7 linked regions of the Cricetulus griseus genome follow. The protein of the gene in region 4 interacts with the protein of the main gene of each other region in a pairwise test. Links are inferred from orthologs where the notes say so. Each region holds a gene or a part of one and is shown on either strand. Other genes may lie near its edges.

Evidence for each region.
Region 1: the proteins of Eda (region 4) and cytochrome b561 interact in binary tests that used the Homo sapiens proteins (3 or more experiments, as listed by UniProt). The two-hybrid records come from large-scale screens. The link is inferred for Cricetulus griseus from reciprocal best matches to the Homo sapiens genes EDA and CYB561.
Region 2: the proteins of Eda (region 4) and Dolk interact in binary tests that used the Homo sapiens proteins (3 or more experiments, as listed by UniProt). The two-hybrid records come from large-scale screens. The link is inferred for Cricetulus griseus from reciprocal best matches to the Homo sapiens genes EDA and DOLK.
Region 3: the proteins of Eda (region 4) and Pln interact in binary tests that used the Homo sapiens proteins (3 or more experiments, as listed by UniProt). The link is inferred for Cricetulus griseus from reciprocal best matches to the Homo sapiens genes EDA and PLN.
Region 5: the proteins of Eda (region 4) and Mal interact in binary tests that used the Homo sapiens proteins (3 or more experiments, as listed by UniProt). The two-hybrid records come from large-scale screens. The link is inferred for Cricetulus griseus from reciprocal best matches to the Homo sapiens genes EDA and MAL.
Region 6: the proteins of Eda (region 4) and Leprotl1 interact in binary tests that used the Homo sapiens proteins (3 or more experiments, as listed by UniProt). The two-hybrid records come from large-scale screens. The link is inferred for Cricetulus griseus from reciprocal best matches to the Homo sapiens genes EDA and LEPROTL1.
Region 7: the proteins of Eda (region 4) and Emp3 interact in binary tests that used the Homo sapiens proteins (3 or more experiments, as listed by UniProt). The two-hybrid records come from large-scale screens. The link is inferred for Cricetulus griseus from reciprocal best matches to the Homo sapiens genes EDA and EMP3.

What each region holds. Positions count from the first base shown.
Region 1 is NC_048600.1:118,875,489-118,879,601, forward strand, and holds the start of cytochrome b561, read right to left. Parts: upstream 2,801-4,113; 5' UTR 2,697-2,800; coding exon 2,498-2,696; intron 1,676-2,497; coding exon 1,577-1,675; intron 1,331-1,576; coding exon 1,227-1,330; intron 776-1,226; coding exon 618-775; intron 449-617; coding exon 256-448; 3' UTR 1-255. UniProt on the Homo sapiens protein: Transmembrane reductase that uses ascorbate as an electron donor in the cytoplasm and transfers electrons across membranes to reduce monodehydro-L-ascorbate radical in the lumen of secretory vesicles.
Region 2 is NC_048599.1:141,943,835-141,947,959, forward strand, and holds Dolk (dolichol kinase), read right to left. Parts: upstream 2,656-4,125; 5' UTR 2,272-2,655; coding exon 661-2,271; 3' UTR 501-660; downstream 1-500. Other genes in the region: nucleoporin NUP188 homolog, read left to right, coding at 2,663-2,694. UniProt on the Homo sapiens protein: Catalyzes CTP-mediated phosphorylation of dolichol, the terminal step in de novo dolichyl monophosphate (Dol-P) biosynthesis. Dol-P is a lipid carrier essential for the synthesis of N-linked and O-linked oligosaccharides and for GPI anchors.
Region 3 is NC_048595.1:255,659,778-255,661,888, reverse strand, and holds Pln (cardiac phospholamban), read left to right. Parts: upstream 1-1,452; coding exon 1,453-1,611; downstream 1,612-2,111. UniProt on the Homo sapiens protein: Reversibly inhibits the activity of ATP2A2/SERCA2 in cardiac sarcoplasmic reticulum by decreasing the apparent affinity of the ATPase for Ca(2+).
Region 4 is NC_048604.1:70,051,379-70,054,878, forward strand, and holds part of Eda (ectodysplasin-A), read right to left. Parts: intron 199-3,500; coding exon 93-198; intron 1-92. UniProt on the Homo sapiens protein: Cytokine which is involved in epithelial-mesenchymal signaling during morphogenesis of ectodermal organs. Functions as a ligand activating the DEATH-domain containing receptors EDAR and EDA2R. May also play a role in cell adhesion.
Region 5 is NC_048599.1:50,923,391-50,927,316, reverse strand, and holds the start of Mal (myelin and lymphocyte protein), read right to left. Parts: upstream 2,801-3,926; coding exon 2,708-2,800; intron 1-2,707. UniProt on the Homo sapiens protein: May be involved in vesicular trafficking from the Golgi apparatus to the cell membrane. Plays a role in the maintenance of the myelin sheath, and in axon-glia and glia-glia interactions.
Region 6 is NW_023276807.1:50,693,303-50,697,261, forward strand, and holds the start of Leprotl1 (leptin receptor overlapping transcript-like 1), read left to right. Parts: upstream 1-1,159; 5' UTR 1,160-1,298; coding exon 1,299-1,314; intron 1,315-3,959. UniProt on the Homo sapiens protein: Negatively regulates growth hormone (GH) receptor cell surface expression in liver. May play a role in liver resistance to GH during periods of reduced nutrient availability.
Region 7 is NC_048599.1:154,810,750-154,814,767, forward strand, and holds the start of Emp3 (epithelial membrane protein 3), read right to left. Parts: upstream 2,801-4,018; 5' UTR 2,660-2,800; intron 1,807-2,659; 5' UTR 1,769-1,806; coding exon 1,691-1,768; intron 1,498-1,690; coding exon 1,395-1,497; intron 942-1,394; coding exon 801-941; intron 1-800. UniProt on the Homo sapiens protein: Probably involved in cell proliferation and cell-cell interactions.

The sequences.
Region 1 (4,113 bases), on a different chromosome or scaffold from region 4:
CTTGACCCCAGGTCCCCTGACCAAGTTTTCTGCATGTGAATGGATAGCAGGGTACAGGCAGGGCCTACACATGGGCCACAGAATGCATCAAAAACTGCGAGCGAGGAAGGGAAAGCAGAGGACAACCCCAAAACCTAGAACCCCACTAAAGTAACACCGCTGCCCCGCACTCCTGGACCTAAAGACTCAGGCTCTGCAGGGAGGAGCAGAAAGACATCCAGGAACCCACAGAACCAGGAGGACCACCCAAGGCTGTCACTGGGGACTGGGACTGTCTCCCTCTGTCAGTGTCTTGAAATCCATGGAGAGGGCTTGCTCTTCAGCCTGGGAAGGCCGCTTCCAGTCAGCTTGAGCCAAGATGTAGAGTACAACCACCCCAAAACAGATCAGCAGCAGGCCCAGGACGTTGGCCAGGACCCCCTCAGGTTCAAACGTGCTGTACTTGGTCCTGTAGGGTAGGGTGAAGGGAGAAGCCACCAAGGGTCCCAGTTAGGACAGATGCAGCCCAGGCCTTAAAGACTCCAGCCCTTCCACCTTCCCCATGAGAAAAGCCAGCTCAGAGAGAGGCTTCCAGTGAGGCAAAGGGCACTTGGGGACTGCCTCTTCGGGCCACTCACCCAAGCTTGAACAGTAGTGCCTCCTTCAGGCCCAGGAGGGCTGTGCCCACAGAAAGGAGGAAGATGGTGGCACCAGAAAAGATGTGCTGGGGGCGGTAACGGCTCCGCAGAGAGAACGAAGCTCCAGGGAACAAGAAGAAGCTGAAACCCACGAGCCACTAAAAGGAGAGAGGACTCTCCTGAGCCATGAGCTGGCTGTGACCTAACTAACAGGAGGCCACCAAAGCACTCCTGCATCCCCTCAAATTCCAGCAGTGGAGCATGGGGTATTTATAGGGAAAGTGGCCTGGTCCCCAGTGCTTGAAGCATTGCGTCGAGGCTTTGGACCTCCAACCACAGTTTCACCACCCTGTGGACTCAGGAAGCCAAGGCACGTGACTCAACACTTGGACAGAGTCAGTGGAAAAGGCAAAGGGGTCTGGGGCACCCTGGCCTCTAGAATCCTAGGCTGATACCCAGTTCAGTCTCTGAAAACAGCATCCAACTAAATTAACCTACGCTCTCTCCTCTGAACGTGCACCCTGGAAAATGGGCCCCTTTTATGGCATACCTGAGCCCCACTACCCGCCTCTTCCTCCTTCCCCATCCCTTGCTGGAGCTAAGACTCACCTGCACAAAGTAAAGAACAAAGACTAAGATTCCACACCAGCTGTGCAAGCTGTACAGGTCAGCATAGCCCTTCTTCTTGTGATAGTCGAACACAGCCACCAAGCCTGCAGCAGAGGCAGGGGCCATATGAGGACAGGGCTGGACATGGAGAAGGGAGAGGAGAGGAGACCCCGGGGGAAACTGCTAGCCAGAACTTCTGGGCTTTGGTCCAGCCTGATGATGGCCAGCATCCAGTGTCCCTGCCTGGGATGCTTGTAAGGAGGAGCGTGGGGGAGGGCCAAGAAGCCTGAAGTAGGGACTGTATATCCTGAAGCAGCAGATGGAGACAAAGGCTGTGCCCAGGAACTCACCCACCAAGGCGATGATGAAGGCAACAACATGAAGCAGCCCGTGCAGGACCTTGGTCGTGCGTTTGGCCTCTTTTCTGAAGACACGGTACACCAGCAGAGCTTGTGGGATGAAAGATAAAGCTTTAAGTGGGTAGGCCTGTGCTGGACACACAAGGATGCCTGGCTGGCTGGACAAAGGTCTGTGCTAAGAGCTTGTCAAGGTTCGCTAGTCATAGAACTGGTGGAGAAAACAGAACTGCATAGGGACCTTGCACCCATCCTGCTTTTGGTCAAGGGTGTCCCTGAGTCTTTCTACCCCATGCACACTCAAGGACCCGGAGAGGAGGCTGTGCCACATTTTCCTGCCACCATCAGAGGCAACAAAGACAGCACCCTGCCCTGAGTACCCACTCAGAGCAACTGCTAGGCAGGGAGACACTTGGCCTTGCCAGGTGTCCTATAATGCATTGACTCGGGTGTTCAGGGTTTGTCCCACAGTCAAACTGCAGTGCTGGCCAGACTCAGTGTACCTATTAGCAGAGAGTGCAGTTCTGGAGCCTTCCTAGATAGACAATCAGTGCTCTTAGCAGGCAGACTCCCAGCTTCAAGGCTTAATGAGATCCTGTCCAATCCTCACTGCTATGAGGGGGAGGGCAGGACCACTAGGACCTGCTGCTGGGAGGTGGCTGTCCTGTCCTGTCCCACCCCCCACCGACCCCGCCATCCAGCTCCTTGTAGGCTGCGTTCAGGACAAGCACCTGCTGGCTCTTATCCCAGGGCCAGGCATTCTAGCTCAGCCATGTCCCCTTCAACAATGCACACATGCACGTGTGCCCCTGATGCCACCTGCTGAGGCCAGCTATCACCCTCCAACCACAGGCTCCCTGGACCACCCAAAGGACTCCCCACGGGACCGCCCACGGGACCGTCCACGGGACTCACCATCCCCTTGCAGGAAGATCATGCCTATGACCATGCAGAGCGGGTGCACATTAAACTGCAGGGAGCTTTCCCAGGCGATGCCACCTCGGTACAGACCCAGCCACGCACCAGTCACAGCCACCACTGTGAGGCCCAGCAGCTGGGACAAGGCCACGTAGTACGGCAGTGTAGCAGGGCTGGAGGCAGCACTGTGCTCCATGCTGAGAGCTCAGCTGCAGGAGAGACAAAGCTCTAGGGAACCACCCACAACCCTCAAAAGGTCCAGCCTGCCTCGTGGCAGCTGCCACCTCCTCCGCCCCAGTGTCTAAGCTGGGCACACTCGTTCTCCCACCTTAGACCCCTCCCACCATCCTGGGGCAGAGTCCCCAAATCCCAGGAACACCTCAGCAGAAAACCAGGCCTTTCCACAAACCTGACCTGGGTTCTGTGTGCAAGACAGGGCACAAGTTTAAAAAGCTCTGGTGATGCATGGACCCAATCCCTGGGTTATAATCCCTGTTTCCTGAGGCCCTGGGTTTTCTGGGGTGAGGCTGATGGCTACATCAGAATGTGTATATCCCCTGAGGGTGCAGGGCTTGCCACTGCCTTCTCCAGATGGATGCGAAAGACCTTCCCCAGTGGGAAGTGGAAGCCTTGCTCCTTCACCCATCTGTAAGCCTCAACCCCTGATCCTAAGAGCCAGCATGGATATCCCCTGTTCTATGTAGCTGTGTTCTGCCCCTGCTGTGCCAGACCACAGGCCAGCCAGGGAGCCCCCAGTCTGTCCCTCCAGCTCCTTCCCACATCAAGGGTGGTAGGGGGTGCTGTCCTCCCTCGGGTGAGGTTTCCAGAACTAGGGGCCTTAGCAATGTATCCTCACATGCAGAACTCGTGTTCCCATCTACCTGCTGATCAGAGCAGGGAGACAGATGAGAGCAGGTATGCTGCTATTTAAGGAGGCACCGCCGGCACCAGGAGACCCTTGAGAGGCTCTGGTGCGTGCAACCTCCCAGGCAGGACCACCGCAGGCCAACTCTCAACCCTTTCCCTGCATGTTCTCCTGTCCCCACAAGGTAACAGGGGTGGAGGGGAGCAGGCTGGCTCTGGCCTCTGTTGCCTTTGCCTCAGTGGCTGGGACTGATCACGAAGTTCTTACTCTGGCTGGACCCGACTACCACCGATGCCACCAGCACTGGGACATCAGAGCTCCAGCTTATTGTCCCCTCCCTAGACAAACGGGGCTTGCCTCCCAGCCAGCCACCTCTCCCAGCAGCAGTAGGTACCAGAAGGTGTGTGGCAGCCGCTTCCCCACTCTCCCACTCTGGCTAGGCTGGGGCCTGGGGCTCCAGTTGGTCAGCTCCGGCTCCCAGTTCTCCAACAGCAACTCCTCCTTTTGAAAAGAAGAACAAGGCAGTTAATAATACACTCTGTGAACAGACAAAAGCAAGTCACCCCATCCCCGCGTGCATTTTTCACATACATTTTTCATAGAAACAGGCCCAGGACATCTTCTAACCCATCTTAATGTAATGGCATAGCGCGCGCGCACACACACGCGCACACACACACACACACACACACACACCCTTGTTCATGTAGATGAACATACTTCTGCCTCATTGATTCAACAACTCCAT
Region 2 (4,125 bases), on a different chromosome or scaffold from region 4:
CTTCTTCTTCTTCTTCTTTTTTTTTTTTTGGTTTTTTGAGACAAGGTTTCTCTGTGTAGCTTTGGAGCCTATCCTGGCACTCGCTCTGGAGACCAGGCTGGCCTTGAACTCACAAAGATCCGCCTGCCTCTGCCTCCCGAGTGCTGGGATTAAAGGAGTGCGGCCACCAACGCCCGGCCACATACTTCTTAATAAAGCCTTCTAGGATCCAGTGAGCGTCAGGCCGTCATTCTTCCCATCATACAGATAGAAGAATTGAGGCGTAGACTCACCCAAGGCTGCCATACGGTTAAGCTGTAAAGCCAAGGATTTTGATCAGATTTGTTTGTCACCAGACACCTAAGCATTAGGCTTTCTGTTCTGCTGCCTACAAGGTCCACTCTAACCATGCCCTACCCAGGCTACAAGATAGGGGCTCTGCAGCATATACAACTTCCCTGAATTGGTGTATGCCTTTAAGCCTTTTTGTATTCTTATTATCAGTAAAAAATAAAACCAAGAGAGCTTTACTTGTTTATTTTAAGTCTGAATCAATTGAAAAAAACCAAATCTACTTTTCACTCCTCAGTTCTTGGTGTCCAAGTAGCTGCTGTGGGAACCATTTATTCTTTCTCCCTATTTCTGTTTCCACCATCACAACTGCTACTACTACTACTACTACTAGGCCATCAGCAATATCAGTAGGTAGAGAGGCAAAAGGAGATTGTCTATTTGAGTAGTGTATGCTTCCAGGAGCGACACAGTGCTGATAGATCCCAAAATCCAAGCATAACTGTAGTTCAGGTCTACTCCACTGTCAAAGATTAAGATCAGAGCTACAGAGATGATCTGTGCAAATATAGATGTCATAGTCCCCTCGAATGTTTTCTTAGTTCCAGGCCAGCGGATCTCCCCCATGGTGCTGCCAAATATGGAGGCAACAGTATCACCCACACCCACCGCCAGGACCCCAGCATAGGGGACCAGAGCTCTTGCTCCTCCCAGGCTGTCCTTCTGTGTACAGGGCCTGGGAATCAGCCAAATGGGAAGAGACATGCCCAGAAGCAGGTAGATGTGTGTTAGGATAAGGGGTCCACTGTCTCGTTCATCCAGGAAGAGAGACAGAAGGCTCCGAAGAGTGTGACCCAAGGGCTTGATTCGGAAATAGCGCACATATTCCAGGAAGATGAAGACGGCCAGGCATACCGTGGCAGCCACATATAGTAGTGGCCGGTCAAAGATGATACCTGGGATGTAAGTGGCTACCACAATGAAGTGGAAATACTTTCTCGTAATGGCAGGAGCCTTGTGTTTCTTGGACTCAGAAGATGACCGCTTGGCATTCTGGTACAGCACCACCAGGCAGGCCATGGTGGCCAGCAAAGACCAATAGGCTAGGAGGTAAATTCGAGTTTCTGTGTAGAAGAGGAACTGAAGAAGCCAGAGCAGGGGGTTCCTACGAATGAGCCAGTGCAGCCAGGGCAGAACCACACCAAGGCCTAGCACACAGGTCATGAGGTGGAAGAAGATGGAAGAGGCCCATGTGCCCGAGTCCATGAAGACAAAGAGGGTGCTGAAGAAGACACCCATGAGCACCATCCCTACCACCACCACCAACAGGAAGAAGTCCACTGGGTCCCCTTGGCTTTCAGTCAGAGAGCGCTTGATGAGCTGGTTGAGGACGAAGCTAATGCCACCTAATACCAGCAGTGCCTCCCCAGGAGTGAAGCATCGGGGCAGCAGGTACAGCAGGATCATGTTGAGATAAACAAATACCAGCAGGACTTCCAGGACCTCGATCACCTCGCCCACACTGAGGGAGTGCTTCATAATATAAATGATAATGCCTCCGGCCAAACCCGAGATGGCGCAAGTATTGGTGGGCACCGGGCGAGTGATGCCCAATGCCAACACCGAGGAGAAGAGAGCCACTGCCATGCCGGTGGCTGCAACCACAACGCCAAAGCGCTCGAAGTACGGGTTACCCGCAGTCTGGCAGCGTTCCTTCATGACCAGCCCAAGCAAAGGCATGACCATGGAGGCTGGCAGTAAGCCACTGTTCGCGGACATTCGGAACTGGAAAACGGCATTGCCTTGCTGGAGCAGCCGGTCCCACTTGTACTGAACGTAGAACGCCTGCACTGCGAGGGCCACAGCGCACCACGAGTATCGGTCCCACACCGCAGCGTGGATGCTCAACACCACTGCGAACACCACTGCAGCCTCCGCCAGCACCGAGCCACTCAGCGGGAACCCAGACTCCGCGACTGGGGGAGGGCACTGTCGGGTCATGTCTCTAGGCCTTGGGTTCCTGGGGAAGCTTGGTGACAAGGGATGCTTTGGCCTCAACCAGCCAAGCAGAGGGCAACAGCTTCACCCAGCCAGCAACCTTCTCCAACTTCCAAAAGTGTGCTCCACTCGGGCCACTCTGAGGCCTGGGAGCCTGCGCCCCGTCACCCTCCACCGCTTGCGACCTACGGTGTAGCGGATGTTTTGCACTCTTCACCTCTCACGGGCTCCACCGCCTCTACCGCGGACGGCTCTCAGCCCTGGGCAGCGCCATCTTGACAGCCCCATTCTGGGCCCGCCCCACCATCACGTGACGGAAAGTCCCGCCCCTATCGCAGGGGCTCGGTCACGTGGGCCCGGTGTATGGGGGCGGGGCTGGGACGCGCGCGCGAAGATGGCGGCTGCCGCCGGTGGGCCGTGTGTGAGGTGCGGAGGAGGGCGCGGCGGCGGGGGAGGCTGTGAGGCGCCGGGTGGGAGCGGGGAGGGAGTTGGGAACGGGATTCGGCGGCAGTGGTGGAGAAGAGGCCAGGCTGGGTGGGCGGACACTCGCAGCGGAGGCGGTTAGGTCCAAACCGTCCCCGCTCGCGGCGCTGAGGACACTTCTTGAGCGGGCCGGCCGCTCTCCCTTCCCTTTCCGTGGTCCCTGTGCCCTCTGTCGACCCACGCCGCACTCACGCTTCCTCCAGCACGCTCCCTGTAGGCACTGCAGAACATTTCGGGGTCGCATGGGAGACACCCCCCTCCCCGAACCTCGCCATATCGTCCCCGCGCCCTGCCCCGCCTCGGGCGTGCCTTGCCCACGCCGCGGGTTCTTCCCGCGGACGTCCTTAGTTCCCGCCTTCTTTTATTTTTGGCTGATTCCAGTTATTGATTCATTCAGCAGACATGCCTTCATCTTCCAAGAGATTTCGGGTAGCTGCGCCAGGCTTCAGACACAAGATGGATTATTACAAAACACACACACACGGTTCTCACTTAGGGAGTGCTTTTTTTTTTTTTTTTTGGAGGCGAGGGCTCCTGTATCACAGGCTGGCCTTGAACTCCTATCCTCCTGCCTTTGCCTTAGTGCGGAAAGTACGGACATGAATTACCAGTCTTGCTTGCCTTTAAAGAGCGCTTACTAGCGCCAGACCCTGGGAAAGTGCCTTGCAGGAATTATCTCATTCATTTCTGACAACTAGGAGAGAGAGGTGCCTCCTGTTACACATGGCTCAAAAGTCCAGTTCATACAGGGATAGTCCCCCTCTTCTGTGATAATCCCCGTGAGGATTCAGATTGAAGACTTGTCAGACTAAAGCCATAATCAGACCTCTGTGCTTATTACATCTTCTACATTACAGACCAGACTTCCACTCTTAAAACCTAAACATACTTGTCATCTGGAATTGACTCTGCTAGTTTCATTTGGTTTTGTTCCCTGCTGAACCATTAAACACGCAGACAGACATGTATATATCTCACACATCGCCTGTCTTTCTCTAAATCAGCCTCTTCCTTTGGATTTTCCTGTGGATAAGGTATGATCCTTGTGAGTTTGGTTTTCTTTCCTCTGGTGTTTCATGCTAGTCCTTGTATCCACAGTTATGGATACATACGTGTATGAAACGTTAAAAAAAGTGAATTTTTCAAAAGGAAAGGAAAAGTTTGGCTTGCTAGTAGGCTTTCATTCGTGTTGAGGAACTTACCAAACCCATCCTTGAGGCTGTTCTTTGACTGATTCTAGGGTTTTTAATTTTTTTTAAAGATTATTTATTATGTATACCGTGTTCTGTATGCCTGCACGCTAGAAGAGGGCACCAGATCTCATTACAGATGCTTGTGAGCCACCATGTGGTTGCTGGGAATTGAACTCAGGAC
Region 3 (2,111 bases), on a different chromosome or scaffold from region 4:
CTCTCCCCTCTCCCCTCCAGAGTCGCAGTCAACTGAGGACCTCTAGTGCTGTCTAGTGTGTACTTCTCCAGAGCTTTAAAAAAGAGCTGAGTAGGTAAGCAGGGGTATATTTGCTAAGTGTTTTTCAATTTTTCTTAATACTTCCCTAACACTCTCTCCCTTCAATCTCTTTCTGAAGCCTCAATATAAGGTTAAAAACACTTTCATGGTGGCACACAGCTTGAGAACAGATTTGGATATAAATTGACCCTGTGTGGCTCTTTATCATAGCATACACATGAAGGACAGAAACACACACCAAATGAAAATCCAATTCACTACTACAATTCAATAGAGCCATGCTGAAGATCTGAGAACTATGCCATCTTTATAAAATAAACACCAAGTTCTAGCTGGTTCTGCTTGATGCAAATCTCCCCCTTTCTCAGTCTCCTTTCTCCTCTCCTCAGCACTTGTCTCAGATGTGGGGACAGCAGACTGAGGTGAGTTCCCAAGAATGCAGAGCCAAGGGAGCAAATCCAACTGCCAGCGAGAGTCTATAATAATATCCTGCTGACAGTGATGCATCAACAAATTAGACACAGTGGTCTCTAGACAGTAAATCATTGCATTTTGTTTCTGTTTATTCTTCCTGTTTTAAAACTGACACAAAAATGTTCTGACAAAAAACAAAACATTAGCCCAGCATAGTAGTATAGGACAGTAATCCCTTTACTTAGTATGCAAAGGCAGAAAGGTGGCGGCCTCCAGTTTGAGGCCAGACTGATTACTGCCTTCGGACAGTACACTTAGTTTATTAATAAGCTTTATTGTTTATTAATTATCAACTCTTTAGACCCTACATATTCAGCAATGGTTTAGGAACTTTGAAAGAAGGCCAGACACAAACCAGGTAAGCAAGATTAGCTGAAAATCGGAACTGTCCATGGTAGTTTTGTACAATAATTATTACAGTGCCTTCCAAGCTTAGCAGTCTTTAGTATTCATTATCATGTACAGTATTTAAAATAGTAGGGGGCATCAAAGGTATAAATCATAAAGAAGAAGGCAAACAGCTAGAATTTGTTTTTTTTATTTCATGTTTAACCAAGCTTTTAATTTACTATATGCATCTCTTTGTCCTGAAACACTTATGTTTACATCAGAGAGATAGCATTCCATAAACCAAGTAATACCTGCCAAAAACCACAGTTCCTACAGCTCAAACAGGACAAATGGGACTGTGAAGTAACATACGAGATATAGAAGCAGAGACCATGGAGCCCAGGGACAGTTGATGTCATAAAACACAGAGACCCAGAGAATGGGTATGGGTATAGGTATTAACCTGGTCCATTTACTGTTTTTACATTCCAGGCCTCCTAACAGAAGACAGCTGCTTACACTTGCCTGCTTACAAGCAGCTCTTTCTTTCTCTTGACCACTCAAAACTTCAGGCTTCCTGATTGCATCATGGAAAAAGTCCAATACCTCACTCGCTCTGCTATCAGGAGAGCCTCAACTATTGAAATGCCTCAGCAAGCACGCCAAAATCTCCAGAATCTATTTATCAATTTCTGTCTCATCTTGATATGTCTCCTGCTGATCTGTATCATCGTAATGCTTCTATGAAGTGCTGCCACCACCTCCAGGATCTGTAACATGCCAGTTCAACTTCAAACCAGCACTCCCTCAAGAGGAGAAACAATACAGCCTACTCCCTGTCTAGAATGTCTTTCTAAAGGTCAAGATTAAGAGGGAAGCAAATTGTTAGCCAATGTATTCACCTACTGGATCTTGTAAACAAACTTTACAATGACTAAGTGTGCATAATGTAGCTGCCAATTTCCTCAAAATGGCCCATAAATATCTTTCCTAATTATTTCTGACCATGAAGTATGAATTTTAATTTTGAAAAAGCACTACAAAAATGTTCACTTTCTACACCCTACTGCTAAGAAGTTCACCATTTTTTTTTTTACAGGAACTAAGTATTTCTCAAGTCTCCACAAAACTGATCATCTAAATGAAGTGTTCTTATTCAAAATAGCTCACTGGGTCCTCACGTGTATGGCTACTATTATTATTACCACATTAGTTATGCTGTCAGAATAAATACCTTGAAATAAAGA
Region 4 (3,500 bases):
AGTGAGATTTGGACCATGCATGAACTATAAAGAGTATTTTTTATTACCATTTCATAAGTCAGAGTGATAAAGGATCACTTGAGTAGACTTACCATCTGCTCCTTCACCACTTTTGCTTCTTTTATTGCGACGAACACGCCTACTTTCCTCTTCAGAATATGCCTTTTCATCAGGAAAGAAGAAATTCAGGAGGGCCATCTGTAAAATTAATAAGTAGATGTGTCAAAGGTTGATGCCAGTCAGCTGTATCCAACTTAAGAAACCAACCAGCTGGCTTTTGATAGATGGTCCATCTTTACCTTAAATTCAATATATCTAAAGTCTGAGTCCATCTTTCCTTCTACTTTTCAGTGACTTTAATCAAAGAATTATTACTATTCTAAACATGTAGGCATGGAGTTTTGGTTAATCTCTGAAGTTTCTCTATTCTGCTTTGAATAGCTCTGAGAAATCCCTTAGGTTACATTTGTCCACAAACTTCTGGGGTTTGTCACAAATTTCTAATTTTCCTCATGCATTACTGATGGACATCCAGAACTAGCCTTGGATTTTCTATTACCCCCTTGGATGTTATTATCATATATATCTGATTTTTCCATTTTCCTACTGATGCTCTGTGCTTAATTTGTTTCTAGAGTGGGGAGCACCCAATCCTGAGGTGCCATGTATGTCAACTTTCTTATGGGAGTTAAGTCATGATAAAGTGCATACTAATTCTCTGTCTTTCCCAAACTCAATCAGAATATGTGGTCTATAAGACTAATTTCAGTGAAACAGAACAAATGATTATTTTTCTTATTCGGTTTGCTAATTTTTAAGGAAAAGTAAATGTGTTATCACTCTATTACTAAGTTTCTATATAATAATGAATCTGGAAAAATAAACCTTGTATTAAAAGGTACTCTTTCTAATATTTGGTCCTCTGATGTCGAATAATCATCACTTAGAGTGACATAATATGTTTTGTATGTGAATGGGTCTGGTTTCACTAATGGTAATCATAACTTCAGTATATACTTGAGGTAAAAAGATGTGCATAAGTTAAACAATGGACAGAGTTTTAGACTCCAGTGATTCTAAGCCCAACTCTATCACTTGCTGGCTGTGTAATCTTGGATGATAATATCACTTTACTCATAAAGCAGTGCAGGATCATCACAGTACCCATCTCTATAATACATACACAATAAATGTTAGATATTGCTATGTTAAATACATTAATTATTTGAAACTTAAAATGAACGTATTTTCATTCCACTGTCAGCTGGAAAAATAGTAATCCAAGAGTCTTTATGTGTGGTGCATTTATTAGTTAAAAAAATGTGCTGGACCCCTATAATCCACACTGCCAGAGAAGCTAGGAAACAAGGAGGACTCTAAGAAAGAGATACATGGTGCCCCAGAGAAGGGGAAAGGGACAAAAATCTCCTGAGAAAATTGGGAGCATGGGCGAGGGTAGAGGGAATTAGGAGAATGAGAAGGGTAGAAGAGGAGGGGTGAGGAGGACACGGGGAAGCAGGAAGGTTGAGTTGGGGGAGGAACAGAGGAGAGCAAGATAAGAGATACCATAATAGAGGGAGCCATTATAGGTTTAAAGAGAAATCGGGCACTAGGGAAATGTCTGGAGATCTATAAGGATGACACCAACTAACCATTTAAGCAACAGGGGAGAGGGTACCTTAAATGCCCTCCCCTGATAATGAGATTGATGACTAACTTATTTGCCATCCTATAGCCTTCATCCAGCAGCTGATGGAAGTAGAAGCAGACACCCACAGCTAAACACTGAACTGAACTGGAATCCAGTTGCAGAGAATGAGGAGAGATGAGGTAAGGGGTCAAGACAAGGCTAGCGAAACCCACAGAAAAAGCTGACCTGAACATGGGAGAGCTCTTGGTCCCCAGACTGATAGATGGGAAACCAGCATGGGACTGATTCAGACCCCATGAACGTGGGTGTCAGTGAGGAGGCCTCAGAAATCTATGGGGCCCCTTGTAGTGGATCAGTACTTATCCCTAGCATAGGAGTGGACTTTGGGAGCCCATTCCATATAGAGGAATACTCCCTCAGCCTAGACACATGGGGATGGGCCTAGCCCCTATCCCAAAGGATATGACAGACTCTGAAAACCCCCTATGGAAAGCCTCACCCTCCCTGGGGAGCAGAAAAGATATTTGATAGATAGGGTTTTAATTGGGGGAGTGGCAGGGGAGGAGGGGAGGGAGAGGGAACTGGGATTCAAATGTAAAATAATCTTGTTTCTAATTCAAATTAAAAATTGGGGAAAATGTGCTGGACCTAAGAAAATCCTAACAGTCTATACAAAATTTCTTCAAATATCCATGATTTATTGTTTATATTAAACAATTATATCCAGTAGCCTTAACGCACAGCCATCTAGGAGGATACAGTCATTGATTAAATATTAAACAATAAATGAATATATGTAATCTTATATTATTAACCACAGCACATTCAAAAATATTTAGATTGTTCCACTTGAAATGGCCATTTTTTTTCAGAGTGCCCCCCAGACTCTCCTAAAACAATACTGGCTATTGCCATTGCTTTTGGTTACCTACCAGAATTAGATGATAAAGACCCTGTTACTAAACACAGCACACACTTAGGTTAGAGAACACAGAAAAATCTAGCTGGAAATGAGTCAGAGGAATCCTCCCTGCTGGCTACCATTCATAGTACTGGAAGGTGTTATGCAGACTGTTTAGGGAGAAAAGACAACATCAATGGTCTTTGCCAGCTGTGGACCCTGCATGCAGCAAAAGTGACCATTCAGACAAGATGCACCCACTGGTGTAATAGTTGAGGGCAACCAACTGCTTTTCGATTGAATTTGAGGCTGACTCCACAGGAGGAAATGCATGCCTAGTTACTGGAAACCTGGTCAAAAGCCCATGGTTATGGAAGTCACAGGCCCTAGGGGGAAGCCACTATTTTGATGTTTTGCTAAATGAACATGCAGTCAAATTGCCTTATAACTATGTAGATTTATATCTAGAGACTACTGCTCTCAGCCTTCAGAGAAGCTTTGTTTCAGTAGGTAGCAGTTAGTGTAGAGACTCATAACTGGTTAAAATACAGAAAAAAGTGACTATTAGTGTGTACTCCTAAATGAGACTCTATATCACTCCCTCCAAGGCTCAGGCAACATCTTGGAAGAGGGGTAAGAATGAGTGTAAGAGCTAGAAAATGAGGAAGAATGTTGTGAAATACTGTCCTCTGTATATGACATGGCCATTGTATATAAGAACATATTGTAGCTGTGGTAACCTACACAAGATTGCGTCCTTCAATATTCCATTATGTATGGGGGAGGGGTTTATGAGGGTTCAACCACCTTCCTGAGGAACTAATGGCTGTTGGAGAGGGAGAGTCTTTTTCTTCAGTAATGTAGTCACTGTTAAGTTGCCATGGTCCAGTAAATCAACTCCAATTAAACTCAGTATATCATTTTATTGTTTTGGACACCAAGAGGGAG
Region 5 (3,926 bases), on a different chromosome or scaffold from region 4:
CTTGGACAGCGTTCATCAGTACTTCCTATGTCCAGACAGTATTCCATTGTAGGGAAAGAGGACATTGTGTTTGCCAGGTCCACCTGTCAGGTGGATATTTCTGCTGTTTTCACCTGTTGGTTACCTTGAAGAGCACTGCTCTGGGCCTGTGTGTACACACTCTATTTGAGTCGCTGCTATGATTCTATGGTCGTATTCCTGGGTGTGAAATTGCTGGGCCATAAGGTAGCTGTTGAAGGAGCCACCAAACTACTCTCCACATTATCTAAACGTATGTAAAACATTCCTAACAGCAATATGCAGAGCCACAGGTTTTCCATATTCTGGATTATTATGTTCCATGGAGGGAGGGGGCGTTATTTCAAAGTTTTATTGTAGTCTTTGCCGCTGGACCTGTTTTTAAACTAACAGTCAATCTAATGGGTGGGAGGTGACACCTCTATGTGGTTCTGATTTCCTTTCCTTGGTGACTAACTCAGCTGAGCATCGTCTTATGAGTTCATTACCCAATTGTGTTTCTGCCTTGGAGAAATGTCTGTCTGAGCCATTGCCCATTTTATAATCATGCTTTGGGTGTTGACTTATAATATTCTACAGTTTAAGAAAACACCCGTGGCGTGGTCAGTGCCTCTCCCAGTCTTTTAATTTTCCAGCTTTCTGGCAAGATACACATTGCTTCACATACAGCCTATGCTGGGAAACACTGGAGGGACTGTGTCTGTTTTCTTCCTTCTCTCCAAAGGCATCCTGTAAACCCAGCCCTAACCTAGAGAGGAAGAAAGATTAAAGGATGGCAAGCAAGACTCCAAAGTTTTCTAGAGAAGGTGACAGGTGGGGGAGGGTGGGCAGACATAGTACAATGGTTGAGATAGAAGAGACACACTTTCTAAAACAGTGAACAGGATGAGTTCTGGTCAAGAGAGAGCACTAGAAATCCCCACTACCACATGGAGGAATGGAGGGCACACTAGTGAGGGTGCATTTTCACTAAACAAGTAGTGCTGAGATTTTCCACACCCACAAGTCTTCTGTAGGTTTGGTTGTCTTGCCTGGCTGGTCTGTTCCTATTCTCAGAACCAGTCTTTCTGTCATACTGAGTAGTTAAAAAGAGGGGGTGTGCTCTTGGAGGTTGCAGACCCTCCACCACCACCAGAGTCTCCCCACCCAGCCCCGTGTGTGTGTGTGTGTGTGTGTGTGTGTGTGTGTGTGTGTGTGTGTTGAGGCTACAGCCAGAATCTTTGCAAAGACCCATAAAGCCCAACTACCATCTTCTCTAATGATTCTTTGTATGCTCTTCTTCAGTCAACAGAAGTTACTCTAGACTAACATATTTTTGTTTAAAAACCCCCTTGCCCCATCACCCCTCAGGCTGAGACATGATCTCTTTTGGTCAGACCTCTGTAGGGTCTACTTTTTAAAATCCTGAGGAATCACCCATTAATTATTCCCAGGTCCCAACACTGGGCAAACATAGGCTAAGAGATTATAAAGACTAGTGCCCCCAGAGCACACAGGGGGTGCTCTCCCATATGACCAAGTGCCTGTGTCAATTACATTCAGTTGGCATTGTTCCAAGACTTGCTCAGCAACCCTGAATACAAAAGGAACCCAAGGAGGTTGGAAGGCTTGCTAAAGACCTGGATGACCTTGGGCAAGCCTGACCCAGCTTTGGGCCTAGGTGCTCTGATTTGTAAGTTGTGAAATTTGGCTTGGTAATGTGCAGAGTTTCTACTTCCATAGCCTTGGCCTTGGTTATGCCCGGGGTGTGAAGTCACTTCAAAAACACCCAGGTTTGGGTTCAACACAACCCTCATCTCAATTTCAGTGGCATCCCTGTATGAGTGAGCCTACTGTCTTTGGTGTCCACATCTTCCCTTCCTATCCATGCTGTTAGAAGCCAGGATCCCATTGTCAAAATCACCCTCTACATTTTCTTTTCCAAGCCTATGTTCTACACAAAGGATTCTGTGTGGTGGGAGCACAGGAGATGTTGTTTCCACACCACAGAATAAACAAACACCCTCCTGCCCAAGCAAGCGCTGAAGGTCCCTGGGGATTTGAAACCAAATGAGGTCTTGAAATCTCACAACACTTTACCAGGAGCCCACAATAGGAAATTTTCTCCAAGCTACTGGGGCGGTTCTAGAGTGTAAGACTAAGAGAACCCAGCCCAGGTGCAGAGTCAGCTCAAGGTCAGCCAAGGGAGGCGACAGAATTCACCTCTCTCCTCCCTCCCCTCACACAGGCACAAGGACTGCAGCCGAGCAAACGAGCAAACGCCAACCACTATTTTTTTCTCTCCCCGGTCAAGTTTGCCACAGAGACAAACTCTTTTCAAAAAACTTCAAAAGGCCAAAAGAGCCTGCCTTCTTTTGGTCCCAAGTCTCCGTCGGTCACATAAAGGGGTCTTTGGCTGGCTTTGTCTACTTAGAGGGAATGTGAGTGGGAAAAGCGGGGACCCTTGTAAGGAAGCTGGGCTCCATAGGAGCAGAGCTACAAGAAGCTACAAGAAGTTTCTTTGCACCTGCCTAGGAGATGGATCCGCTATTTTAGAAAGGAACCAACTACCGAGAGATGAGGAGACTTTCCGGATTTGGTCCCCTACGTACTGCTGGTAAGGTCGGGGACAGCGGTGAAGAGCCCTCAAGGAAGCGAGCAGCATAACCCACCCTGTCCCTTTCCCAGCGCAGGGCGCGCAACCACTCACAAACTCAAAGATGAAGAGCAAGTCAGGAAAGGTGACGAAGACCGAGAAGCCACTGGGCAGGGTGCTGCCACCCGAAGCCGCTGCCGGGGCCATGCCTGCGAGCTTGGCGTCGGCCTTGGGACGGGACACGCGCACCTCCGGCTCTGCGCTGACCGCTCGCTCGCTCCGCAGAGCCCAGTGGCCGCAGGGCGCTCGCGCGCGGGTTAAGAACTGAAGAGCCTGCTCCAGAGGAGGGCGGAGCTCCGGCCACCTGCCCCGCCCGGGTCCACTGCCCCAGAGACAAGGCTGAACCGTCTGGGGCACCGCCCTGAAACCCAACGGAGTGCTCTTGAGGATCTGCAGGGCTGGGGGAGTGGGTATCTGGACTCACCTGTGGCACCTTTGGGTGCCATCTGCCTGAGGGGAGCGGTGGAGAGTTTTTGGGGCAACACTTCGCTGTGAAACACTCCAGGAAGGTGTTCACTATCCATCAGTAACGTATCCGAAACCTCCATCCTTAGGCACCCCATCCCTTTAACCCTTGTTGGATCTCCAGTCTTCCCTGGGGACGTTAATGTGTGAAAACCGGCTTTTGGAGGACACGTTCCCAGTTTTGATCTCAGCTGCAGGATGGGTTATAGGGGCAGCTATGAGACTTGGCGGGGGAGCTGCTTGACAGGAGGGAAGGAGGTAGGTCTTAGGGGGAGGAGCCTGGGGGCCTGCCTGCAGGTGGTGGTGATGGGATAAGTTGCATTGCATCCATGGGAGACAGGCATTGCCAGGGGAGACACCTGCAATTCCAGGGTTGGGGCAGTCCTCCCCATTCTTTGTCCTATGACCCTTTTGACTGCTTAGTTCTTTGTAGGGATTTCCTCCTCTCATACCACAATTTTACGTTTTATTTTTGCCTTTATTTTTAAACAAGTATTGTACCTCCTTAACTGCTATTTGTATCACACTAATATTTGCCTCCTCTTTATATATTGGCCTTTCTCAGTCTCCAGCTCAGATTCTGAACTTGAACCCTCCCCACCCCAGCTTCATCCCGAGGTGCCGCTTCAGTGCTGGGTCTCCCCCCACCCCCCACGCCGCGACCCGGTGTATGTGTGTGGTCCCTCCCATTCTCCTACACACAGCTCTTTTTCCTTTCCGCTTCCTACAAGAAATACATTTCTCGAGGTATTTTTCTAAAGCAAGACTCCATGGCCATCAGCTGATCAGAGCAACTGCTTATGGGAAG
Region 6 (3,959 bases), on a different chromosome or scaffold from region 4:
CCAACCTCTAGTGTCCATTAAGAGAAGGCTGCAGACCAAACCAAAGGATTACCCTTTCCTATTTCCTAAATATTCCTAGGATCAAGGTTTCCTCTGCCTTCTTAATTAGTTTCAAGGCTGAGACTGGCATAGCAGCCCTAAGGCAGATCTAAAGGGGACACTGTATTTCACTGGCCTAGAAGGCTCCAAAGAAGGGAAAACCCAATCGCTAGATCTGGGAGCCAAAGGGCATTTTAACGAAGGGCAATACACAGTGGGGAAGTGACTAGATGAAAGAAGTGTGGGCTTTCGGAGGGAAACTAATAAAGGCTATTTTTGTAACATTTCTGCAGACTCCAATCGGTGCTGCTTATAGAGACAGCTGCCTCTTCTCAGAAGTGAAAATATTTACAAATGGGAAAAATTGTGTTGCAAATATCTTTTTATGTCACACGGGGAAGTTCCTGTTACCTTTACAAGGAGAATCTTATGCTCTTATTTTGTACAGAAAAGAGCGCGGACAATTCATCCATGTTTTGTTTTTGGTTTGTTTTTTATATTTTGGAGTGGAGATTCTTCTTACTAGCGATTATCTTCGTTGCAATTTTATTCTTTTTTTTTTTTTTTTTTTTTTTGAGTACTCTCCCTTTTTAGTCCACAAACAACCCGACAGCAGAAACTACACCTGCTTTTGCTCATCCCAAAGCCTACTCCGGTTCCCCAGCATATATGTGGGAAACTTGCAAATATATAGCGGATTTCTGCGGGGCCCCATCCCTTTTGTCACCAAGGAGAGAGCGATCCTCACAGACTCCCAAGAAGATAATGCAACTCTACTATCCATGACTCGGCCCGCTGCACCCAAATAGGGAGGGGGGAAGGTCTCATCAGAGCCCCGATCTGTGTAGGAACCCAAGGAGAGATGCAGAGACCACCCATCTCCCGAGTCACAGACTGGCTGGTGGAGGGAGGAAGGCGCTCGCGGTGCAGAACCTGAAGTGCTCCGGCAAAGACATCGGCCGCGTCTTCACGAGCTCCCCACGCGCCCTTCCCAAGACCGCGGGGACTTCGGGCGGGAGCCATCCTCCCGGGTCGGATGGGAACCACAGACCAGCCCAGGACGTCGCAGCCGGCACCCGCAGCTCCGGAGGAAGGCGGGCCCCGGACCGGCCCCGCGCGCCCCCCACGCCCCCGCGCGAGCGCGAGCCGCCGGCGGAAGTGCTGCGTCGTGCACTTCCGGGTGTTGTCTGGCCGCCGTCGCGCGTCTTGGGTCTCCCGGCCACCGCCCGGGTCGTGGAGGCAGGAGCGACGTCACCGCCATGGCGGGCATCAAAGGTGGGCCTGGGGCGCGGGCCGCGGGGACGGGGACCGCGGGGATAAGGAGGGACGGCGTGGGGTCGACCCAGCCTCGGCTCCTCAAGCCGTCGCGCTCCGCCCCTGGACCAGAGCCGGGCAGCCGGGCCACTGAAGCGTTGTGAGCGAGTTTGCACCCAGAGACATTGAGGGCTGCCATCCGGAGGGATGCCCGTCCCCGCACATCAGTCAGTGTAGTTTCCCACCCGAGGCACGAGCGCAGTCCTCTCCCAAGCCTGGGCTCTGCATCCACTCTCGGGATCCCGGTGCACCATCTTTCCCTTGCCTCTAAATCGGATGCATCGGATTTTCGGGGTTTGTACAGTGCAGCAAAGCCCGGATGCTAACCCAAAGTGCTCCCGCTTCCTTTCCACCCACAGTTGCAGGTTGACACTTTTTTAAGTTGTGATTTTTTTTTTTTTTTTTAAGATAAGGTAACTAACACCTTGATAAAAGATTGCTTGTTTGTTGCATTCTTTGGAGAGACGGAATGTTGCTCGGTAGTTTTGCCCCTGGGGTAAGAAGGAAAGTTTTCGGTTTACTTATCAGCGGATCACTTTGGTTTCTTGACCTGCTTTGTAGAAGAGACAGCCAAGCAGGAAGTAAACAGTTGGATAGTTATGCCTCCCACCTCGCTGGAAAGGGCGACTTTGGTTGAGCTTTTTTCCAGGGTCACATTCTTTTCCGGCGTCTTGTTTATTCTCGGTGCCTGAAAAACGTTTCGTTTCCCATATAGAACCCTGTCATCTGAGTTACTAGGATACTTTCAGATCTCTTTTTGAACAATAATAGACCCTTTCAAATCCTAATGTGAACGGAAGTTACTGTGAAATGCTGCAGTTTTTAGGATGTTGCCTGTGCCTCTTCCTCATTTCTTCAATGTCATTAATGGGGGAGTCTTAACAAGAAAATAGATTTATGATTCTTCAAATGTGGGTAATGTTAATCTAGTGACAATGACTCCAACGGAATTTTACTTACTTCTTAAAGATTTCAGTGGGTTTTAAAGTTATGATTGTTCATCGAGATATTTCTTCCTGTTGATTTATATATTGCCTTTATATCAAGAAGTGTAGCTGTAGAAACCATTACATATTTCTTAATCGGATTGCCTGTTACTTTGTGGTAAATTATACTTTCTGCTAACTCCCAGACTGAGAAACTTGACCCCGTCACCTATGTCTTTGCAGTCACAGAGCCATCATCATCTTGTCTCTATAGAGAATTTTTGCTAGGTAATTGGGCTGTTCCATCCCTGGCCTGGAGGCTTTGGGAGTAGAAACCACACTCCTGTTTCATCTTTCAAATGTTGCATCACTCAATTACTGTGTGAATTCTTACCGTACTGGTGCGTCACTTAAGACGCCATTTATATAAAATAAGCCACCTAGTTGCCAATGTCATAAGTCTGAGGAAACATGACTGGTTTGGGGAGCACTCTTATCATCTTTTATCTGTAATGACTTAAGAGATGAGGTGTCGAGGACTGGAGAAATGGCTCAGAGGTTAAGAGCACTGGCAGCTCTTCCAGGGGTCCTGAGTTCAATTCCCAGCAACCACATGGTGGCTCACAGCCATCTATATAGTGAGATCTGGTTCCCTCTTCTGGCATGTAGGCATACATATAGACAGAACATTATATACATAATAAATAAATCTTTTTAAAAAAAGAGAGATGAGGTGTCACATGCAGTTGCCTTTGAGCATCTTCTAAATATTGAGTATATTTGAATGCATAGAAATATGACCCTAGGGTATCTCGATTCCCCCAAACAGTTCCATGGGGCTTGATTTTTCATATGTGAGTGTTCAAAAGGAATTGGATCTTGTATAAATAAATGTATCAGTAATTTTATGGGCTGGAGAGATGGCTCAGTGGTTAAGAGTGCTTACTGCTCTAACAGAAGAGCCAGTTCAGATCCCAGCACCCCCCACACACACACATACCCAATAGCTCACAAAAACCTGTAACTCCAGCTCAGTAGGCACCTCACTGACACACATATAAATACACACACCCATACTAAAATATTTTTAAATTATTTATTTTAATTTAGTTTAAAATATTTTCAATTAATTTTTATAGTATCCGTAGTAGAAGCTTGTGTTTTAAATGTGTTTCAGTGCTGGAACCTTATTTTTGGGTTTCTTGATTTTTTTTTTTAAATCTTTAAAGTTAACATTTGTTATTTGAAGGTTTTTGTTGTCGTTTTGGTTTTGTTTTGTTTTGTTTTGAGACATTATGTAGTCCAGGCTGACCTGGAACCCACAGTCAACACCTCAGCCTTCTTACTAGGGTCACGGGCATGTGCCACCACACTTGTTACACATGCAGGGGATCCAGGTTGGGTTCCCAGCGTCCTCATGACTGCTAATAACTGTAACTTCAACTGCAGGCATCCAACACTCTCTTCTGGTCTCTTCCTGCACCAAACACACACACACACACACACACACACACACACACATGTATACTTGAACTTTTGTTTGTTTATTTTGCTTTGGTTTTTCAAGACAGGGTTTCTCTGTGTAGCCCTGGCTGTCTTGGAACTAGCTGTATAGATGAGACTGGCCTTGAACTCAAAGATCTACCTGCCTCTGCCTCCAAGTGCTGAAATTAAAGGTGT
Region 7 (4,018 bases), on a different chromosome or scaffold from region 4:
AAGTCACAGAGATCTGCCTCTCTCTGCCTCCCAAGTGCTGGGATTAAAGGTGTTTGCCACCACTGCCTGGCTCTTTTTTTAGTTTTTCATGAGCCAAACATGCAAACATGAGTGAGTAACATGAGGGGGTTTCTCTGGGAACCCAGGAAGATGTTTCCAAAACCACCATGATTAACTCAGCCCTTTGCACTGAGAGCCAAAGAAAAACTAAAGAAAAAATAGAGCCCTGTGTTCATTGACCTCTTCATCCCCCAAACCCTTCAAGCCTCAGATTATTTGATCTTAAAAAAAAGTGGAACATGACTTGGTAGCCCATGCCTACACTCTCAGCTACTCAGGAGGTGGAGGCAAGAGCATAGGGAGCTCAAGGCCAGTGGAGATGACTTAGTGAGACCCTTTTTCCAAATTAAAAAGAGGGCTGAGACCATATGCCCATAATCCACCAGTATAGAGCTGGGCATGTACCTCAGAGATAGCTTGTCCAGCATGCCAGAGGCCCTGTGTTACATCCACAATACCGAGTGATGAGAAAAAGTAAACTCCCTGAACAGGTGGACAAGAAACAGCAGTTGGATGATATGATTCAGAATATTCCTTTTATGGTATTTCTTAGCTGCCTGAATCTCTGGAACTCAAATTGTTTACCAAAACCTACTTCTGAAACACTAGCTCACTAAAGTACCAAGACTACCAGAGCCTCTGAGAACTGCAACTCCACTAGCTCTGGGGTTCAGAGGCTGTCCTTGGGGGAGGGCCTTGCATGGTATACCCCATTCCCTTGATCTTGGGGAAGTGCTTACTGGTGCAAAGCTGGCAGAGGCCGGTGGCGTAGAAGAGCCCTCCTCTCCGCATGGTGTAGAGCTGGAACATGAAGAGGATGAAGGACAGGCAGCAGAGGATGAGAGAGAGCACCATGAGCACCTGCACTGCCTTCAGCCAGCCTGTAGGGGAAGACAGGTGAGGTTACAGCCCACAACCCCGTCTCCACTTGCTGGTTCAGCCAGGCAAGCTTCATGGGTGCATCTGTAACTAGGGTCACATACCATGCAAACACTGATAGCTACATCCCCACCCTCACTTGCTGTCACTTAGAACTCTGGCCCTTTCCTTCTCTCCTCAGCTTCAATGAATGGCTCCATATTCTCAACACTAGCTCTATTTCCTTACAACTCTGGAAAGCCTATCGTCTCAGAATTTAGGGAGCTTTCTCCCCATTCCTTAAACCTGCAGCATGTGACCTCCACCCTTTCTGGATCCATTGGAACAGAGGCAGTGGCCTTTCCATCCAGACAGGCTGCCTCTGCCAGCCCCAGATGCTCACAGCCTAGGCTCCGGTCCCAACCCTGGTCCCGGCCTATTTGGGGCCCTTCTGTTGCCCTCAGCTATATGCTCACCATTCTCACTGACGTTACTGCAGGCCCACGTTTTGGCAGTGGTGTTCCATGTGCAGTCATACCACAGGTTTAGGGACTCCTTCTCGGGGAGAGTCCACCAGGACTGGGAGGGACAGAGATCAGGGAGAGTGAGGAGAGAAGGACAATGTCAGGGAGAGTGGGGATGAGGCACCTAGATGTGCACCGAGGGGCTAAAAGGGTGGGCAAGGCTAGAGAGAAGCGTTGCTTTAGAAGTAGGGAGGTAGAGGCTTAAGAAATGGGCTGTAGCTAGGTTTCACAGTGAGTTGGAAGCTTACCTTGTCCAAAGTGGCCACAAAAAGCAAGATGAGGATGAGGATGTGAAGGGCAGAGACCACTAACAGGAGGAGTGACATGGCTGCCAGATGCCTGGCTCAGAGCAGGAGAGACAGACCTGCAAAGGGTAGAAGCACTCAATCTGGGCAGGAGGGCTAGGGTCTGGCTTTTTAAGTCTGAGGGAGGAGGGCTTGGGAAGGCTCTTGGGTGTGAGAGAGAAGGAGAGTAGGCTGAGCAGTCCTCCCCAGGGAGTAGGAGGGTGAGCCCAGGGCTCCTGGGCTCCTGTGCTCCTGGAGCGGCCTAGAGAAAGCCCTACGTGGACTTTAGGAGATGGATGAACAGGACTGACTATATGTTGGTGCATCTTCAGTGCTTTCTCCCCAGGCTATATGGGTCACCATATGAAAGTTTAAATTGACACCCCTTTCTAATCCATCAAGAGCAGGAGCTGCCCAGAGGACACACATCCTTGACTCACTCTCTTCTCCTGGGGTGAGTCATGGGTGACTCATCCCCCTCCCTTCAGCACCAGGGAAACTCCAGCCCCCGGCTGAGTCTCTGTGGCCCTCACCCCACCCTACTGCAGACCTAAGGCTCTGGATACTTGGGGAGATGGATTAGAAGGCGGATGTCTGAGTGGTGAGAACACTTCCTACCACCCTCAGTGTCCAGAGAACTCAGCCTGGGAGCCCTCCTGCACCCCTTAATCTCAAGAGAGAATGGAAGACCCCATGGAGAAGCTACAAGATGTTTCCTATGGTGTGCTCTCTTGGGACCACACATCCTATAGATGGCCCTACTCCTTCCTGTGTCCCCACTATAAAGGCTGAGAGACCCCCTTCTTCAATTACTAGTGTCCTCGGGAGCAGGGTGGAGGGTTTCTTCCTGCCTAGGGCGCCCCTCCCACAGTGCTGTGATGCCCAGTATATAAGTATATAAAGTCCCGTCTGAATAACGGATTGAAAACTTACCGAGAGTCGCTGAAGAAGTCAGAGTTGGAGTCTGTCCTCGTTTGGGCCTCTTGCCCCGCCCTTCTGCTCCCTCCTTCCACTCTGAGGCCCCCGCCTCCCTCACCGCCTTCCTCCCAACCCTTACTACCACCCTTCTCTCTCTCTCCCTCCCTCCGTCTTTCTCCTCTGGTGGTTTCTGCTTCTCTTAGCTCTCAATATATACCAACCCCTTTATATCCACTTTGGCCTCGCCCAGCTGAGCTCTGCAGGCAGGGGAGGGCACAAGAACTTGGTTCCTTATTCTCTGCCCACCAGTGGTACAGTGGACATGTTCTGGGACCTCTTTTCAGGGCTCAGATGAGAAGTCTTTGGGGCCTTCAGGTGGGGCACATTACCTCCTTGGACCGCATGTCTGCTGTCTTTGACGGGGTTTGGGGCAGAGTGGATGACACAGGAGTCTGCAGAAGGCTAGACTCTTGTGGCATAGATCAAACTTTGGGCTGACTCTGAGGTGGGACAAAAAGTATGGATCCATGGAAAGGAGCAGGATGTAGACTTTAAGAATGCCAGTGCCACCATTTTCCAGTTTTGTGACTTTGAGTAGGTTATTTCACTTCCCTGGGCCTCAGTTTGCTAATCTGTATAGTGGTTACAATATACAGCCAGTAAAGAAAATAGAGTGATGGAAATAATGACTGGGTGGGTGGATGGGTGGGGGGCTAAGTAAAACAGTATAACCCTGGAAGGCCTCTTGGAGGACATATATGACCTGAAATTCAAGGAAAGCAGTCATTTGGACATTGGGGAGAAAAGAAAAATTCTCAGGCCCTGAGAACAAGCTCCTGTTGTTTGGAGAGCATACAGAAGGGCCAGTGTGGCTGGAGCACAGGGAGCCTAGGGTGTGGTGACCAGGGACATCAGAGAATTCCCTTCAACATTCACGGAGGAACCTGGATTTTACTGGAAGTGTTGTGGCAGCCCATTAGAATTCTCACAGCAAGGTAATGTGAGCTGTCATTGTTTATTCTCAGGACACTGATTTCAGGCTGTGTGTGATGACTGAGTATATCTGCATTCCTTATCAGGGGACCGAGTTCTGGTTCTGATGAAGTAAGGGCTGGGGACCTGGGTGATGGGATGTGTGGCCATCTGATGGGGCCAGAGCTGGGGGTGAGAGCTGGCTAGACTGGAGCCACTTGCTGGCTGTGTGGCCCCAGGCAAATTATTGACGACCTGTCCATGCTTCCTCATCTGTAAAAGAGGGGTAGAGTACTGGGTAACATAGCTCTGGAGCAGTGCTTGGCAGTTTTGTGCAACTTACAGCAGGCATTGGGGTTTCAAGTGGAGTCAGGGGAACTCTGGTTCAGAGGCTCTAGTAAT